Ovis aries: one gene and its partners. The protein of the gene in region 2 interacts with the protein of the main gene of each other region in a pairwise test. Links are inferred from orthologs where the notes say so. Each region holds a gene or a part of one and is shown on either strand. Other genes may lie near its edges.

Region 1 (6,123 bases), on a different chromosome or scaffold from region 2:
TCATTAAGTACATTTGGAATAACATGCAGCCCTTAAATAATGTTGTATGGATGAGTTTCCATTTCTTTAGCCATTATTCTATCCTTAGCTGCTTAGATTACTCCTAACTTCTCTCTGAAAACAAAGGCACTGGAATGAATAATGTTCTCCATATTCTTTATACACACTGCATCACCTCTTTTGTTTCTTTCATCCCTTTCAGAGTTCCTCTGGTGATTTGACTTTTTCTTCCTCTCCATGTCGCCTCTTATTTCCAGAATACCAACCCTGTTGGTGTTCCCTTCTTTACATTTCCGTAGCATCTCGAGGAAGGTTGCAAGAGAGTGTGGCTTTCTGACTCATTCACTCTGGTTTCCTCTGCACAGTCAGAAATTCAGAGAAGTCACCCAGAGTTCAGCAGCCTCTCTCACACCAGTGCTATGTCCAGGCAATTACCACAGCTCTGCCCAGAATTGTTGCTTCCACAAACTAGGTTACTAAACCCCACTTCACCAAGCATCCTTCCATGCTGCTATCAGATTCTCAGGCTCTTCATTTCTCTTGCCTGCTTTTATTCCTCCCACTTCTCGGCTTCCCAGCCTTCTCCCTCTCAATTCTCAACCTGGCCTCTTGGAGTTTTGCAGTTTCCAAGCTCTCTACAGTGTGTTAGTAAACTCAGATGCCAGCAGGGGGCGCCTTTCACCTTAAATGGAAAAGTCTGGCACACCCCTTGCAGAACCATGAGTACCCATCCTCTAGCCCAGTCCCTTAGGTGTCAGGCATGACTAATCCCCCGTCACATAGCAACTGCGAGCTGAGGAAGCTGCTTTCAGCCTAGTTGTTCAGGCTCCCTCGGGCTTGCTGTACATTTGACAAAAGGAGCAAAGTAAGCCAGCATGCAGGAAACTATTGGGTTGGCCAAAGTGTTCATGCTAGTTTTTCCGTTACATTGTAAGGAAAAACCCAAATGAACTTTTTGGCCAACCCAATATTATATGGACTGGAATGTTTAGAATCAGCCTGTCAACCTGCCTATAGGGCACTGTCAGCAAAAATGTGTACTTTTCGTTAATGAAGTCAGCAGTGAGATTCGTTGGGAATCTTTGTTGTAGTTTCCTTGGGGAAAGGGGTGAATAGTTTCACATTCATTTACCATCTAGTGAGTATGCATCAAGTGGCCGCTGTGTTTGCCAGGGCCTGGGGATGCAACAGCAGCACCACTCAAGTCTTTCTCGAGGATCTGAGTACATACACGTTGCTAGACCCCGCTTCAGATCCTATCTCTGCAGCTGTGTCTAACCTCTCTGTGTCTCCAGCTCCTCATCTGTAGAATAAAGTTATCATATAGAACTTGACTCATAAGATGGTGAGAATTAAGGATAATGTCTCCTAAATCCCTAAGCACAGACTCTGGCCCATGGGGAGGACTCAAGAAGTGGCCACCACAATAATAAACGAGAGTCCTCTGCATGTCTTCACAGAAATCAAATTTCGGATTGAGATTAGTTCTATGTGTCCTTCTTTGTGACCACACATGGGTTTTTTTAATAGAGTATGTCACTAACAGGGGATGTGGGTGTGCACACGCCTACATCTGCTTTTACTTTGGTTTTTTGAAACGTTTCCAATAGATGTGACTGGCTTATGTCTCTGCCTCTTCTCATGCTAGGTAATGGGTTTTGGTCTGTACCTGATGGATGGGAATGTCAGTAACATTTACAAATTGGATGCCAAGAAGAGAATCAACCTCAGCAAAATTGATAAGTTCTTTAAGGTCAGCAACTGGGGCTGGGGCTGGGCAGTGGGCCAGGGGGCGGTCTCTCTGGGGAGAGGAATGAAATTAGGCAGCAAAGAATGATGCTTATTGATTGAACGGTGACTCTAAGGATCCCAAGAGGAGGAGGAGGATAGAGACAGGGGCCCTAGCTGCCTTGGGTACCGGAATCCACGCTATTGAAGGTGTGTGCCTCAGTCTCAGGACACAGCCAGAAGGCCTTGCAATGCTTTCCACACACTGCTTTTACCCTTTCCTGAAACCCCTTGCCATCTAAAGAAAGAGGTGTGTCCCAGAAGACAGAGCCTGCTTTAATTTTCAGTATAAATCAGAGCTCGCAGTTGCAGGAGGATTAGAGAGTGGACGTTACATTGATTCACGTTCACAGGCTCACAGACTCTCCTGGCCCACCAGAGGCCTACTCCGCTCCCTGCCTCCAGAATGCCTCATGGGGTCCAGCCTGCTCTCAGTCCATTCAAGTGCCTCAGAGATTTCATCTTGTGGCCCCAAATCTTTTAACAACAAACCTTGAGGTTTGCCTTTGAGGTTTTTGCAAAGGGATTTTCTACTTTGGAAGTCAGTTCCATATTGTCAGCGTGTCCTAGCATCAGGCACTTCAGGTGTGGAGTAGAGCCTCTGAGATCAGACATGGGAAAACCAAGCTTAAATTAAAAGTGGATCCCTTTGAAGATGTGTCTGGGCCTGGGTCTCACTAACTCTTGGAGGTTAGTAGGGAAGTAAGTCACCCAAGGGGCTTCCCAGATGGTGTTAGTGGTAAAGAACTTGCCTGCCAATGCAGGAGACATAAAAGACGCTGGTTTGATCCCTGGACAGGGAAGATCCCCTGAAGGAGGGCATAGCAACCCACTCCAGTATTGCTGCCTGGAGAATCCCATGGACAGAGGAGCCTGGTGAGCTACAGTCCATGGGGTCACAAAGAGTCAGACATGACTATGTGACTTAGCATACATGCACAAGTCACCAAAAGCATCCTAAGGTTTGGCTTGGCTTCTTTTTGAAGCTAAAACTTTCACTTTTCTCTAGGACTGCCCAAAATGAAAACTGGGCTTATCTGGGGGGAACTGGCAAAGTCCACCCCTGCCTTAAATCCACATAAATGAGTTGGGGGTGGAATTGAAGACCATAGTCTCACCTCACACAGACCTGGGTTTTAGTCTCTCTCTTCCATGACATAACTGGGTGATGTTGGGAAAGTCACAGAGCTTCTCTGAAACTGAGTTCTCTAACCTGGAAAATAGGAATGCTAAAGGTGTCTACTTTATGGGGTTCCCTTGAGGATTCAATGAGCAACATAGGTGTCAGACCCCTGGGTTATAATCCTGGCCCCTTGGCTTCTAGGTGGTCTGACTTTGTGAAAAAAAAAAAAAAATCACTCTAGCTGAGTTGTCAAAGCTTCAATTTGTCCATCTTGTTAAATGGGAATAATAGTAGTACTGATCTCACTCAGCTATTCTATGGAGTGAGATAACTGTTTTCTGTTTTGCTTAATAGACTATTTTTTAGAGCAGTTTTAGGCTCATAGCAAAATTGAGTAGAATGAACAGATATTTCCCATGTAACTCCTATTCCTACTCATACCCAACCTCCCCCATTATCACAACTCACCAGCAGAGAGGGACATCTGTTTTAGTCCATAAATCTGCACTGTTAACACATCATTATCACCCAGATCCCATGGTGTGCAGTAGGGATAATTCATGGCATTGTGCATTCTGTAAGTTTTAACAAATGTATAATGACTATATCTACCATTGTTGTTGTACTTTGTTGCTAAGGTGTGTGACCCAGTGGATTATAGCCCACCCAGCTCCACTATCCCTGGGATTCTCCAGGCGGGAGTACTGGAGTGGGTTGCCATGCCCTCCTCCAGGGGATCTTCCCAACCCAGGGATGGAACCCAGGTCTCCTGTGTCTCCTGCATTGGCAGGCGCTTTCTTTACTGCTGAGCCACCAGGGAAGCCCCTGTATCTACCATTGTGGTATCATACAGAATAGTTTCACTGCCCTAAAAGTCTCTGCTTTTGAAGGACTGAGCACTGCAGTGCCTCATGAATCAGAAGCAGACAGTGAATACCAGCCTCCCCACCATTAGTCCTCCTCTTCGGATGGGAGTTGTCTGCCCTCTAGTGTTGGGTGTTCAAGGTTTCAATTCACCTTGTGGAGTTTCTCAAGAAGGTCACTCCCAGCCAGTGGAATCCAGGCACTCACATCTAGTCCAGAGTTTGAAACAGCGAGGCGCCTTTAATCCAAGGGAAATTAGAGCAGAGAAGACCCTGCCCTGGGAGGCAGGCCATCTGATTCTCGTTCTTCATCTGTTCTGCCTGCTGGGTAACCTTGGACAAGTCTCTTTGCCTCTCTGGGCTCAGATGCTGGAACATAGAAATGGTTGGAGGCAGAGGAGGACTAGGCTGGCTAAGGCTCTTTGTGGTTCCCGAGTCACAGGGCAACAACATCGGGGTCAGAACTAGGGGTCAGCCCGGAGGCACACAGGGAGGCCTGGCTCTCCCAGTGGAAGGCAATGCCGGCCCCTCCCTCCGTGTCTCACAAGCTGTGTTTGCTTCCTTTGCAGCAGCTGCAGGTGGTGCCCCTTTTCGGCGACATGCAGATAGAGCTGGCCAGATACATTAAGACCAGTGCTCACTATGAAGAGAACAAGTCCAAGTGAGTGCCTGCCGTAATGTCTCTCGGCTCCCGCAAGGACGCCCAGCCCGGGCAGGGGGCCGAGGGGCCATTTCAGCCCCTCCCCTCTCCCCAGACCCTGGGCAGGTGGAGTCTGTCCATCACTGGCTCCTGACAGAGGGGAGCAGCGGATGGTGATCTGAGCCCTTTTGCACTCGCCCTTTGCTGCCAGGGTTCAGAAGCGCTCAGAGCACAGCCCCGCCCCTTCTCTGTCCCTGTGGTGGCCCATGCCACCTGCAGGGGGACAGCAGGAGTCCTCCTGCCCCCAGGCAGGGGGAGGAGTGCTGGCCCTCAGTGGTCAGATGGAGCGAGGTGGCCTTGTTCTTCATCCCGCTGGTTCTCTCCTCAGGTCTTGTGTCCGTGCAGTAAGTATGCCGTGCAGGGTATGGTACCAACGGTTCCAGGTGTGAAGTGGGTCAATGGCCTCCTCCAAGGTTGTTCTAGAAACCACCCTCTAGGTCATCTGTGCTAAGATCCGGGGTGTCAGCACCTCATGGAAGTTTGGGGAACAATGGGCTACAGGCTTGGCTACCCCTTTGATCTCTGGTCTTGTTAAGGAGGTTTCTTCTGCCTACATTTCCAACAGAAAGGGACAAACCATGTTTTCATCAGGGATGAGGGTATTAAAGCCTTAAAAATACATAAATGCAGAGTCCTTGAACTCCACCAGCTTTGAGCCACTGCAGATGACTCTCACCAGGGAGAGCTTCGTAACCCAGTGGCTGCTGGTATGTGAGGAGGTCTTCCAGGAAAAGCATGGAGTCCTGAATGCTGGACTTATTTCCTTGTGAATTCTTAGCCACCTGAAGGTGGTTGGAGTGGTGATGTGCTCAGGGTGGGGGGCAGGGGCTTGAGTGATGTGTCCCCAACCCGCACAGGGAACTCAGGGTAAAGGTTGTGTCGAAGTATAGGCATGAGGAAGTGTCAGCATTCTCAGTATTCTCTGGAGCGCCCCTTCAGAGCTCCTTCTGAAATAGTGAATTCTCCCTAAACGTGTATCTGCCTTGCTTGGTGCGCATGCTTAGTCTGTCCACTGGGTCACCCGGCGCCGGATGGCAGAAGACAGTGACTGGGGTTGTCTTTTGTTCTATTGGCAAAGGAGAATGCAGACTCTCATTCATTCATTTCTTCCCCAATTTAAGATGTTTTCTCAAAGATCTCTTTTTCAAAAATTGAGGGAAGTGTTGAGAAAGAAGAGAGAAAGAGGGAGAAGATGAGGGCAAGAGAGAGCAGTGCCTCTCAGGATGGCTGTGGCTTTCTCTCGGTGAAGAGCTTCCCTGTTCCCGGCTCACTGTTGCAAAACAGACACAACCCCGTTAGGTTTTTGCAGTCCCGCCCAAAGGCCTTTGTCAATGGCAGCTTCAGCCACAGGACAAAGTGCTGCCAGGGTCAGCTGACAGATCTGGGAGGTCACCCACCTTGCTTTTTCTTAGCTTGGATTCCAGCCCTTTGTAGCCCTAGAGAGGCTGCAAGTCCCTCCCTGCTCATGTGACTGGTAAGTACTGTGGACACCCGTTACCTGGGAAAGTGTGGGACTGGGCCTTAGAAGAGGCCAGCCCCAAGGAGGAGAAGGAAAGGCTTTTCCATGCAGCCTGCAGTGCCTACGGTGGAATTTAGCAGGCACTGTTGCTAGTGGGTAGGACACCTCTTGGGTGTTCCCAGTGGAGCCA
Region 2 (6,123 bases):
GATGGACTGTGTAAATCAGGGGTCTGCATCCTGTGGCTCATAAGGTGATTTTGAGTGGCATGGCCAAAGTCAGCCCTAGGCAAAGTCAAGAAGTAGGCGAAGTCTCTCTTTGCCTCCCCAGCTCTTCTCTCAGTGCTTCTTTCTTCTCTCCCAGTACCTTTCACTGAACGCTATCCCACTGCCCGTGCCTACTGTCTTGCTCAACTGTGTATCTACTATGTAACTTGCTAATGATGGTATAAGGTATAATCCATCTCACAAATATTTGCGTTTCAAAAAGGAACTCTGTAAGATGGAAAAGCCTTCAAGATCCACAGGAATGAAGCTATAATGGTGAAGCTATAATTGCTCATTAGCTCCAACAGAGGAAGAGAGAGGTAGTAGAGTTGCTGTTCTGGAGTGGGGGAGAGAGCTACCTACTCCTAAGGCCAACCTTGAACCTGAGCCCTCATCCCTTTCCCAACAGTCTGTTCTTGATGCTGTGGAAGGTTCCCCCTCACCAAGAAGTTATTTTCCCATCTCCCATCCCCTGTGTTATTAACCCACCCCCTCAGGCATAATAAGTTGACTACAGTAAATCCTTTCTAATAATCAGTTATTCCTGCGGGAGTGGGAGGGAAGGTTGTGGACCAAGCATCAGACAAGCATATCCCCATTCAACGAGGTCCAATCCCTGATCTCACAAGAGACCATTCCCTGAGATAGTAGCCACGATGGCCACCTTTGCCACCCTCTCTAAGATGACCAAAATGTGTGCATTCCCCTTTGTCCCTGGCCAAACCTTGTTAAAAGGAACTCTCTTTCTAGAAGTTTTGTTTATCAAGGTATTGCATTTAATTGTTGTAGGCAACTTTTCCTCCAGAGAGCACAGATGTTTAAAGGAGCACAGCTGTTAAATGATGTGGCATACTCAGGTTTGAACTTAGATGGCTAATAGAATTCCTTTTTTTTTTAAAATGAGAACCAAAAATGTTTGAAACAAAATTGACCTCAAATATCGTGAAAACCTTCATTTTAACTTAAGATAATTTGTTTTACAAAATGGAAGGTGATATATACTCTTTGGTGGGCTTATAAATTGGGAAGTGTAATGGATTACCCCCAGAAACGTCTCTGGAAGTTTCTGTTAACCTAACGTTTTTTTAAGTCGGACAATGGTATATAACTTTTAACTCTCGATAGGAACTAATTCTGAAGCATCAAATGCTTCTGAAACAGAATCTGACCACAGAGATGAACTCAGTGATTGGTCATTAGCTCCAACAGAGGAAGAGAGGGAGAACTTCCTGCGCAGAGGAGACGGGCGGCGGCGTGGCGGCGGAGGAAGAGGACAAGGAGGAAGAGGACGTGGAGGCAGCTTCAAAGGTACAGAGGGTTTTTCGTTTAAGAAATGAAGCTGAATTGTAACAACTGTCTGAAGTTCTATGAAAAAGCTAGGTGATTCAATGACATACTATCAAGCCCCCATTTCTTCCATTTTGTACTGGTCACCATAAGAAAGGCTCACGTAATTAATTAGCAATATCAGACAGGCTTCCTTACAGTTTACAAACATATGAATAACCCCTGATAACTAGTTCAGCTTCTTTGGGTACTCTAAACATCACATCTAATCATTAGTTCAGATTGACCTATCACACAGTTGATGTAGAACTGTGATGGCTTAGGAATGTTTTTTGTAACATGTGCTTCTGTGCACTAAGCCGCTTTAGTCATGTCCAGCTCTTTGTAGCCCTGTGGACTGTAGCCCACCAGGCTCCTCTGTCCATGGGATTCTCCAGGCAAGAGTACTAGAGTGGGTAGCCATTTCCTTATCCAGGGGATCTTCCGGACACAGTGATCGAACTCAGGTCTCATGTCCCTTGCATTGGCAGGCAGGTTCTTTGCCACTAGTGCCACCTGGATGCTAGATTATTAGACAGTGTGTAACTGAAATTGCTAGGTTGATTATATTTTAGATTCTGTGGTTGGTCTAAATAAATTGAGGATGTGGGAACAAAGAACTCTACAATAGGCATGTCAGAATCAGTGACCACTGAACCTTTTAAAAATGTCCCTATAGGAAACGACGATCACTCCCGAACAGATAATCGTCCACGTAATCCAAGAGAGGCTAAAGGAAGAACAGCAGATGGATCCCTCCAGGTAAACCTATGTGCCTCTTTTCATCCAAATTGTCCCAGTTACATAAGTTTGAGATTTAGGTGAATTTGCCATACTATATAGGTATTTGTGAAATACTTTCCTTTCAACATTACATTTGTGGTCAATTTTAGTCCTTTATGACAAGTATACAAAGAAGATGTATCTAAAGAATGTGCAGTCTCAGTATTTGTAAAGATTTCGACAACCACATTATGACTTAAGTACCACATAGGTAATCCTCCCTACCCCCATTCTCCAAGGAAAGAAACATCCAGGAATGTACTGAGAGAGACTTGTATAAGCCCTGAGGAACCCACATCCCTTCTCACCAGAGTTGCAAGGATAGGGTGTCCTCTTTGACTGGAAAGTAAGAAAAAGAAGGTATCTAGCTCACAATAGACAGGGCTGATGACACTTGGCTAGTACATGCTGAATCAGTCAGCTGCCTATTTAGAGCCAACCTCTACCCTGAGAACGCATCTCATGTGGCCAGCACCTGTGCTGAACACATTGTTAACATAATTTTAAAATGAGCCCCCAAGCACAGCCAGGTATCTTGGCTGGGTGTATTGTATCTCACTTAATGTTTCAACAGTACCCTGAGGTAAGAAGTTCTATTATTCTGTTTTATAGGTGAGTAAACTGAAGTTTAGAAAGACTGAGTCACATAGTTAGCATACACTAGAGTGATATTTCAGAGAAGGCAATGGCACCCCACTCCGGTACTCTTGCCTGGAAAATCCCATGGACGGAGGAGCCTGGTAGGCTGCAGTCCATAGTGTCGCTAAGAGTCGGACATGACTGAGCGACTTCACTTTCACTTTTCACTTTCATGCATTGGAGAAGGAAATGGCAACCCACTCCAGTGTTCTTGCCTGGAGAATCCCAGGGATGGCGGAGCCTGGTGGGCTGCCGCCTATGGGGTTGCACAGAGTCAGACACGACTGAAGCAACTTAGCAGCAGCAGCAGAGTAATATTTGAACCCTGGTACCTCATTCCCAGAACGCATGATCTCTTCGGCTGCTTCTTTAACTCTGAAGACTTAATCCAAGTAGTTGGGGGTCCCTTCATGACTATGGATTGGTTTGGGACCAGTACCTAGAATTAGTGAGACATAAATTTTAAGAGCAGAAACTTCATGACAGAATATTCCTTAGAATTCATAGCATTTGTAGAAAGAAAGAAAGAAAACGAAGTCGCTCAGGTGTGCCTGACTCTTTGCGACCCCATGAATAGTAGCCTGCACCAAGCTCCTCCGTCCATGGGATTTTCAAGGCAAGAAGTACTGGAGTGGGTTGCCATTTCCTTCTCCAGGGAATCTTCCAACCCAGGGATCGAACCTAGGTCTCTGGCATTGTAGACAGATGCTTTACCGTCTGAGCCACTAGGGAAGTCCTAGCATTTATAAGTAGGTGTTAACTATTAGCTGGTGCTTAAGGATCATCACAGAAAATATCTTAGACCTAGAGATTGATGAAATTATAAGGCGTTTATGTACCAGTTTCATATTTCCCCTGTTGACAACCAAACAGTTAAAACACTCACCCAGGACCAACAATTAAACACACTTTGAAATTCGAGTGCACCATTTTGGGACTATAGGTAGTCCCATTTGTACTTGAAGCATATCAGTACTTTCATTAATTGTTTTAGGCCTGTGTGTCAACATTATCTTTCTTTTGTACAGCATCTACAATTGCATTAGCAGTGTTAAGTGTTCAGTGCTGGCACTTAAAATATTATATAAATCTCAGAATATTATTTTTTAAATCATATCCATCTCTATTCTCTTCCTGGGATTCCAGTTCTCCCACGCATTAGTGTCTTCAAATTTCCCTGTACTATTCTTATTCTTCAGAGTTTAAGTTGTATGATCTCTGATTTTCCTTACGGTAATATAAGCTACTAGAAACCAGTGCTCATATGAGTATATATAGTGTGTGTATATATACATATATATGAATATATACAGTATGTGTGTATATTTATATACACACACATGTTGTAAGACAAAGGGAGCCCTCAGTGTAGAAAAAGTTAATCATACTTACGATAGAAATGAAGATGTCAACTAAAGACTAGTTAATAAGTGAGTTAAGTTATTGCTCTGGTAACGTCAGAATAGGAAGACAATAATTTGTCTCTCTCCTCCTGGGTTTCATATCTTTGAAGAATAAACCATTTTTTTGAACAGACCTGTATATTTTGCATATATATTTTGCAATCCGTAATAGGAGTTCATTTTAACTATTTGTTTCTCATTGTTTTGTTCTACTTAGAAGAAGACACAGTAGGATTGTGAGTTTTTATCTAACTTTGGATGCAGTGAGATGACCAAGGTGTTCCAGTTACAGAAGAAGAGTGTTTTAGAATCATAAACCAAATAAAGCTCCTACCTGACCTTAATTTCTCACACTTCTTCTATTCAAATCCCTTTTAACATGTGGAATATACACTTTGGGCTTAAATTTCTTGTCAGGCCAATTGCAGATTACAACAGAATATGGTCTGTGTATATAACAACTATAACTTGTTTTAGATCAGAGTTGACTGCAATAATGAAAGGAGTGTCCACACTAAAACATTACAGAATACCTCCAGTGAAGGTAATCGGCTGCGCACGGGTAAAGATCGTAACCAGAGGAAGGAAAAGCCAGACACCGTGGATGGCCAGCAACCACTTGTTAATGGAGTACCCTAAACTGCATAATTCTGGAGTGATATATCCCCTATACCATTTCCATAATTCTTATTCCATATTAGAAAACTTTGTTAGGCCAAAGACAAATAGTAGGCAAGGTGGCACAGGGCATGAAATGAACAATTCCGTTAAGAATTTTGCTTTTTTCACATTGGCCATAAGCAGCAATTTTCAAATTTGCACACAATGAGGTCTTAAAATTTTTGAAACATTACTTTTAAATAATTAAGTATACTTAGCACTTCAGGACAGGATTTTCATTTGGTTTACTTTTTAAATACCGCGCAGTTGATATTCTTTGTTAATTTGGACCGTTTACCCTGCATTGGGTGATAACTCACTGGTATATTTCAGTTTTTCTGAATAATAGCATTTATGGTAATCATATTAGACTTCTATTTTCAATCTCATATAGAAGTCCATAAAATACTAAGGCATTTCATGTCCTGTGTCAGTTTATGTTTTGGTCCACTTTTCCAGTATTTTAGTGGACCCTGAGATGTGTGTGATGTGACGTTTGTCATTTTCATTAGCAAAAAAAAAAAAAAAAGTTGTATGATCTGTGCCTTTTTTATATCTTGGCAGGTAGGAATATTATATTTGGATGCAGAGTTCAGGGAAGATAAGTTGGAACACTAAATGTTAAAAGATGTAGCAAACCCTGTCAAACATTAGTACTTTATAGAAGAATGCATGCTTTCCATATTTTTTTTCTTACATAAACATCAGGTTAGGCAGTATAAAGAATAAGACTTTTGTTTTTGTTCTGTTGCACTGAAGTTTGACAAATAGTGTTATTGAGAGGGATGTGTAATTTTTCTGTATAGACCGGAAAAGTAGTAACGGTCTTTTCATTTGCAAGAGGCTCAAATATTTTCAGCTAGGAACAAATCTTCCTGGTTGAAAGTTAGTAGGATACGCCTGCTCTTTGGCCTGATGACCAGTTTTAACTTAGAGCTGTCTTTTATTTTGTCCTCCCCGAGTTTTGTGAAGTTTCTCATTTTCATTTCAAGCTTATTTGGGGGAGGTAGAAAGGTCATTTGTGTGCATAATAATCCTGTGAAGTACAGGTACTTTGTCTGAGAAACATTGGAAGCAGGTTAAATGTTTTGTAAACTCTGAAATATTAGGTCTAATGTATAAGCAGAATTGGAAAGCAGACTAGGATGGTTAACACATGAAACTTTTTTCTTTAGTTTTTTTTTCCTTTTGTTTTTTTGACATATTGGGTTTCAGTTTTGAGGGTTTTTTTGTGTTTGTTTTTTTTTTTTTTTTT
Region 3 (6,123 bases), on a different chromosome or scaffold from region 2:
GTCCTCTGGACCAGCCACCTCACTGCACACCAGAGCCCGGGACCCAGGGAGGCACTGTGCCCCCAGGTGAAAGCCCACCCAGATCTCTTGGCGCTGGGGCCCAGCACCCTTTCCCTCCACCCTTGGGCCACAGTTGCCTTCTGGTTTTTAAGGAAAGAGGCCAGTGTCAGGCCTAGGCAGCTCTGGACTTCAGTGGGAGTCGATAGCCACTTTGAGTGCCAGACCCTCAATTAAGTGCCTTACATACTTATTGTTTCCAGGCTCCCAACACCTCTCTCAAGTAGAGAGTGAAAAGGGCAGGGAGCCCAGAAAGCCCATAACCCCCCGCCAGGACCCTCCCTACTTCATAGTCACCCCCACCCCAAACCCCAGTTCCGGCCCTGCTGTTGCTCCCAGTGAGTCGTGATGGAGCAGGATTGGCCCTGGGGGCCCAGACTCCACCTCATGAGTCCTTTCTCACCTGGTCCCAGTGCTGAAGAAGGTGAAGCATCGGCTGGTCGAGAACATGAGCTCGGGGACGGCAGATGCTCTGGGTCTGAGCCGGGCCATCCTGTGCAATGGTGAGCCCCCTTCTCCCAGCCCCACCACTGGTCCCAGGGGACTCAGGCCCAGGCCTCCGGGGCTCGGGTGCCACGGCTGCCCACCAGACCTGTATGTGTCCCGCTGGCCTGGGCCAGGCCTCTGCTGGTGGGGCCAATACTCACCATCTCTCTGCCTCCCTGGAGGCCTCCCCAAGCTCCCACAGATCACCCACAGTGCACAGTGAAGGCCTCTTACAGCCCGTGTCCCCCCGCTTTCCAGCAGGGGTTCACAGATAGGCCCAAGTCACAGATGAGAGACTCCTGGTGGGCAGGTGCCTCCTGCCAAGCTCCCCAAGCTGGTGCCTTCGCCACTGCCCCCCAGGTGCTCTCACACAGCCAGGCCTCCCCCACCCCAGCCCCAGTTCTACCCTGTGCCCTCTCGTCACCCCAGCACGTCCCGGCTGCTCCCGGGCTGCTTACCCGGCCCCCCGCCTCTCTCCAGGAGGTGGTGCTGCTGCCCAGCAATTCCTGCTCAGACCTGGAGGTGGCTGTGCTCGCCTCCCGCAGCGGGAAAACTGAGTACATGCACATTCACACCCACACATGCCTGTGCACACACAACTCTCTCCCCACACGCTCACACCCACCCATGCGTGTGCACACGCGCTCTCCCCGGGGGGTGGGGGGAACCAGTGAAACACGCAGTCCCGCTCCCGCCGTCACCAGCCCAAGTTTATAAATAGCAGCAGCTCTGCTGTGTACGTGTGGGGACAGATATAAATACCAATATAAATTGTAGGCTCAGCTGGGCGCACTGGGCTTTATTGGCTGGGACATCGGGGGTGGGGTCTGAGCTTGTTCCAGAGGGTGTACAAAAGTGGCGGCTGCTATTTCCAGCTTCTTGGTGCCTATAAATCCCTGTTACTGTAGTTACCATGCGTCGAGATGAAATTAGAACTGGTTGTTGTGTTTTTTCCCCCCCAAACCTTGCAATTTCCCCAGCCTTAAATAGGGTTTCTAAAATTGAAGCTGTCATGATGTCCCATGACCCAGCTAAAAACAACAGCACGGCGCTTACGTGGCTCCTTCACTGCCAGGCTGGCCGGGCGCCAGGGTGCTGGGGCGCTGGGGCCTGGAGGCCAGCCCAGTGGCTGAAGCCTCTGAAGACCTCTAAGGAGCGCCCCACCAACCCCTAGAACCCAAACCCTCCTCCCTGACAGCCTGACACACACTGCATTCTCTGCCCAGATTTAAGAATCCAGACCTGGCTTCTACAACCCTTCCTCTCCTCCCACTCAGAAAACCCTGGCCCAGGTCAGCACAGGAAACTGAGGGGGCAGAGGGCACTCTGGCCTGCACAGCCCTCGCTGCGCACCTTTAGGCAAGTTGCTTTACCTGTCTGAACCTTGGTTTTCCCTATAAGATGGGGGAAGTAATCTGCCCCAAAAAGCTCATGTGGAGAAAGGACTGAGCTGGGTGGGGGGCTCCAGTGAGGCCAGGCTCTGTCTTAGGAGGCCCTGGGCCAGGCAGCCACCAGCATGGACCCTGCCCCACACTTGCTGCCCGTGCTCCTGGTGGGGAGGTGGGTGTGGGCCTCACCCTTATCAGAGTGGAGGAGGGTGGTGATCACTGCTGGCCGGAGCCCCGCCCCACCCTGATCTGGAATGCAGCCCCGGCCCTGGTCATCCACTTGTTCCTATCTTGAGCCCTGGAGGTGAGGCAGCTGCCCCCATCCCTCACCTGGCAGCCCTTACTGCCCCTGCCAGCCATGGCCTGGCCACTATCACCGCTAGACCAGGAGCCTGGAAAGCACCACTCAGATTTCATTCACCAAGGTCATTCCCTGGCCCAACACGGGGTCTGGCACATAGTGGGTGCAGGATAAACACCTGTGAAGCCAGTGAAGACGATCGCCAAGGCCCACTCCAGTGCAAGCTCTTCCTCAAAGCCCTTCCTGCCTTTCTCTCCCCTCCCAGATTGCTGTCCCTTCTGAGCTGCCAGGTGGTGGCGGGCTGCCTTGAGCCTACCTTAAGAGTTACTGTCAGGCATCCCGTCTCTCCCACTTGTCTCTGACTGCCTTGCTTCCTAGCCGTTGGCAGGGCGTGTGTTGGAAGTTCTGGCCAGGTCCTTGACTGCTAGGCAGGGGCTTGCCTTCCACCGGCCTTGGGCAGCTACCCTTGGGCATGGCCTTGGGGAGGGCCCAATCCAGTTTTCACTCCTCACTTCTGGAAGCACCCGCATCCTTGTCACCATGTCCCAGCCTCCTGGGGTGGTGCTTATCACAGCCTCCTGAGGGTCGCCCTGCTGTCCCGCCTTGTCTGGGTATAGTGGGCTCGTCACAAAACACCTGCGAGCCCAGCCGCCCTGAGGTGCCCAGTCCCCATCCCTGGGACCCTGTCCTGTTCTGTTCCTGGTTCTTTGGGGGCCACCTCGCCTCTCCCAAGCCTGGCTCCAGTGATCCCTGGGTCTCTCCCCTCACCCCTGGCTCTCTGATCCCCACAGATGGGCTCGTCAAGAGGCTGGAGGAGCTGGAGCGGACCGCCGAGCTGTATAAAGGTGGGCAGGCACACCCTCCCGCCAGCAGCCCTGGGTGGGTGGGGTACTGCACCAGAAGTGCCTGGCCCGGGTTCTCCCCGAGGTGGAGCTCTGGAGCCCTGCTGTAAACGTGATGGCAGTGAGGGGCAGGGTGCCAGCCACACAATTCTAGGACCGTAGTCATTAAAAATTCTTAAGAAAATCTAAAGACCTGCTTTTTCTGATTATAAAAGTAACATGTGCCCATAAAAAAGAACGGCACACGTAAACCGAGTGAGAAAAGCCTGAACCTCAAGGACAGTGTGGGCCTCGGGTGGGGTGGGGGTTTGGAGGCCGTGTCCTGGACCAATGTCATCCCCACCGTGTGGTCCTGTCCCTCTCATTTTGGGTCTTTCCCACAGGGATGACAGAACACACCAAGAACCTCCTCCGGGCCTTTTACGAGCTGTCACAGACGCACCGGGGTAAGGATGCCCTGATCCTGCTACATGACCCTGGAAAAAACCCTGCACTCTGGGCTCAGCACCTCCCTACACCCCACGGGGAGGGTGAGGGCGAACTTCTCTCTGGGGCCTTTCTGCTGCCCAAGCTCAAGCAGACCCTGCAGCATCTGACCTCATGTCAGATTTGGGGGTGTGATGGTGATGGGGCCAGCGGGGAGCCTCTCGACCAGCTAAGCTTCTGTGGGGTGCAGAAGATCCCCGTGCAGGCTCTGTCCTGTCTATACTGCTGCTTACAATGTACAAGGCCTTTTCTTATTCCCGATCATGTTTCCTACACGTTTGTTAGCTTCAGTTAATCCCATTTTACAGCTGGGAAGACAAAGCCCAGGTAGAAGAAGCAGTAACCCAGCTCCTTAGGTGCAGGGTTGGCCTTAGGACCAGATTCCTAGACTAGTACTCTGCTCCCAGACAGTTTCACCTACTCCACTTTGACCCTGTCTTCCTCGCATGGTCTGGTCACTTCAGGAACCAGGTCAGCTCCTTGGATGTAGACCCACCTTCCTTGGGGGTACAGGTCCAGCTCTTAGGGGTGTAGATCCACCTTTCTTGAGGTTTAGACCCACCTCCCTGGGATGTAGACCACCAGCAGACCTCAACCTCCGACCCACCACGCCCCCCACCATGCTTCTCCCCAACAAATCCCTGGCTTCTCCGTTAAGGGGTCAAGTAAAGGGGTCAAGTAGGGGCGGCCTTCAGAACAAACTTGTCACGCAGCCTTTGGGGACGTGTTCTCTGTGATCGGGGTGCGGGAGCCCCAGCCCGCTGCGAGTGAGGCTTTTGTGAAGTTCGCCGATGCCCACCGCAGCATCGAGAAGTTTGGCATCCGGCTCCTGAAGACGATCAAGCCGGTAGGTCACGTGGAGCGTGCGTGGGTCCGTAGGTGAGCGGGGAGGAGCAGTGTGGCCAGCGGAGTGTCTTGTTCTGGAGGCGGAGCACCTAGGGGCTGGTTTGGGGGTGGGCTGCTACAGCTGACCGTGGCTGAGTCCTTCTTCCTCCACGACCTCAGCACTGACCTCCAGGCTGGTTTCCGGCCCTGGCCCCACCAGAGTTACAACTTGCCCTTGGCCTGGGCTGTCTCCTCCTCGGAATGGACAGGGCAGTCGGGGATCTCCCCTCGGCTCTGACACCTGAGTCCACTAGAAGGGTGGACGCACCAGTGCCACTCCTTGTCGCCCTCTCCAGCCTTCACCCGCCCTTGCCCAGGGGGCCTGAGCGTCCACCCCACCTCCCCTTCCAGATGCTGGCAGACCTGAACACGTACCTCAACAAAGCCATCCCGGACACTCGCCTCACCATCAAGAAGTACCTGGACGTGAAGTTCGAGTACCTGGTAAGTGGGCCCCGGCCTCCTGGGGGGGCGGTGGTGTGGGCCCGGCCTGCTGGGGTCAGAGCCCACCTGGAGGTTTGTTCCTCTTCAGTCGGCCGCTTGACGGCCAACGGGTCAGGGCCAGGACCTTGGTGACACCTGACTGGGGGCGTGGCGCCAGGGCCCTAGGGAGGTGTTCGGGGCTCAGGCAGCAGCCTAGGCCCTGCCTTGACTCTTCAGAGGAGATCTGGGGTGGGTGGCGCCCTTGCTCGGGACCCACTCTGACCCCATGGGAATTTTCTTCAGTCACCCTTTAACAGTGGATCAGTCTAGCTCACTGGTTGTAACATGGATTTTCATGAGTCTTATGATCAAATGGTAATTCTGCGGTCAAAGGAGTTGAGGAAAAATACTCCACTGAGCAGGCCCACCCAGGTCCTTTGCTTCAGGACTTGTCAGAGCCTTCGATAGACCCATGTGTAACGTGGGTCTTCAGGGGCTTCCTCAAGTTCTTTGGATCCTGAATCCTTTAGCCCAGAGCATCTGTTGGGACTTGGGTGTAAACGCTGGGCTCTCGGGCCCTTTCCATCGTCCCTGATGAGTGCCCTCACCACCCTGAGCCTCCAGGGCAAGGGCCAGCCTCTCCCCACACGTCTCAGCTCTTTCCAGCTCAGGGTGTGCAGGGCCCACAAGGCCTGGCACGGCTGCTCCTCTGGGTGGCCGAGGGCTCCAGGGGGGCATGGGAGGAACTGGGGCCATCAGGGTGCGCGCCCAGGTGGTGCAGCCCCCCTGACAGCCTGGCCTCACCCGCCCCACAGTCCTACTGCCTGAAGGTCAAGGAGATGGACGACGAGGAGTACAGCTGCATTGTGAGTGGGGTGGGGGAGCACGGCCCTGGTCCTGGAGTGGCTCGGGGTGCACACGCCTCTCCCTGCCTGCCTCACAGAGCCCCAAGAGCGTCCTGGGCCTGCCAGGGACACGGGGTGGGGCGGGCCTGCCCAGGAGAGGCCTGGGGACTTGGCCAGGCTCCTGTTTGTGCAGATCTGGGGGCTGTCCTTCCGTCCCTCCCTGTGGCCTCTGCAGGCCTCCCAAGTGCTGGCCATTTTTGCCGTGGAACCATCCCCACTGCCTGCTCCCAGACCAGCTGCCCTCTAGACTTGGTGAGGCTCCTGCAGGAAAAAAAAAATGCCCTTCCTCTCACTCCTGAGAGCTGGGTTTTTTTCACTTGCTACTTTGTAATATTTTTGATAGCAGGGTC

What was found.
Region 1: the proteins of FMR1 (region 2) and CYFIP2 interact in a two-hybrid assay, tested with the Homo sapiens proteins (2 studies listed by BioGRID and IntAct). The link is inferred for Ovis aries from reciprocal best matches to the Homo sapiens genes FMR1 and CYFIP2.
Region 3: the proteins of FMR1 (region 2) and PICK1 interact in a two-hybrid assay, tested with the Homo sapiens proteins (2 studies listed by BioGRID and IntAct). The link is inferred for Ovis aries from reciprocal best matches to the Homo sapiens genes FMR1 and PICK1.

The regions. Positions count from the first base shown.
Region 1 is NC_056058.1:66,563,917-66,570,039, forward strand, and holds part of CYFIP2 (cytoplasmic FMR1-interacting protein 2), read left to right. Parts: intron 1-1,648; coding exon 1,649-1,753; intron 1,754-4,343; coding exon 4,344-4,435; intron 4,436-6,123. UniProt on the Homo sapiens protein: Involved in T-cell adhesion and p53/TP53-dependent induction of apoptosis. Does not bind RNA. As component of the WAVE1 complex, required for BDNF-NTRK2 endocytic trafficking and signaling from early endosomes.
Region 2 is NC_056080.1:87,700,172-87,706,294, reverse strand, and holds part of FMR1 (fragile X messenger ribonucleoprotein 1), read left to right. Parts: intron 1-356; coding exon of another isoform or gene 357-541; exon of another isoform or gene 542-1,182; coding exon 1,183-1,365; intron 1,366-2,062; coding exon 2,063-2,145; intron 2,146-4,425; coding exon of another isoform or gene 4,426-4,440; exon of another isoform or gene 4,441-4,685; coding exon 4,686-4,847; 3' UTR 4,848-6,123.
Region 3 is NC_056056.1:215,673,853-215,679,975, forward strand, and holds part of PICK1 (PRKCA-binding protein), read left to right. Parts: intron 1-470; coding exon 471-560; intron 561-1,001; exon of another isoform or gene 1,002-1,195; intron 1,196-2,548; exon of another isoform or gene 2,549-3,023; coding exon 3,024-3,077; exon of another isoform or gene 3,078-3,457; coding exon 3,458-3,520; exon of another isoform or gene 3,521-4,273; coding exon 4,274-4,407; intron 4,408-4,796; coding exon 4,797-4,889; intron 4,890-5,683; coding exon 5,684-5,734; intron 5,735-6,123. UniProt on the Homo sapiens protein: Probable adapter protein that bind to and organize the subcellular localization of a variety of membrane proteins containing some PDZ recognition sequence.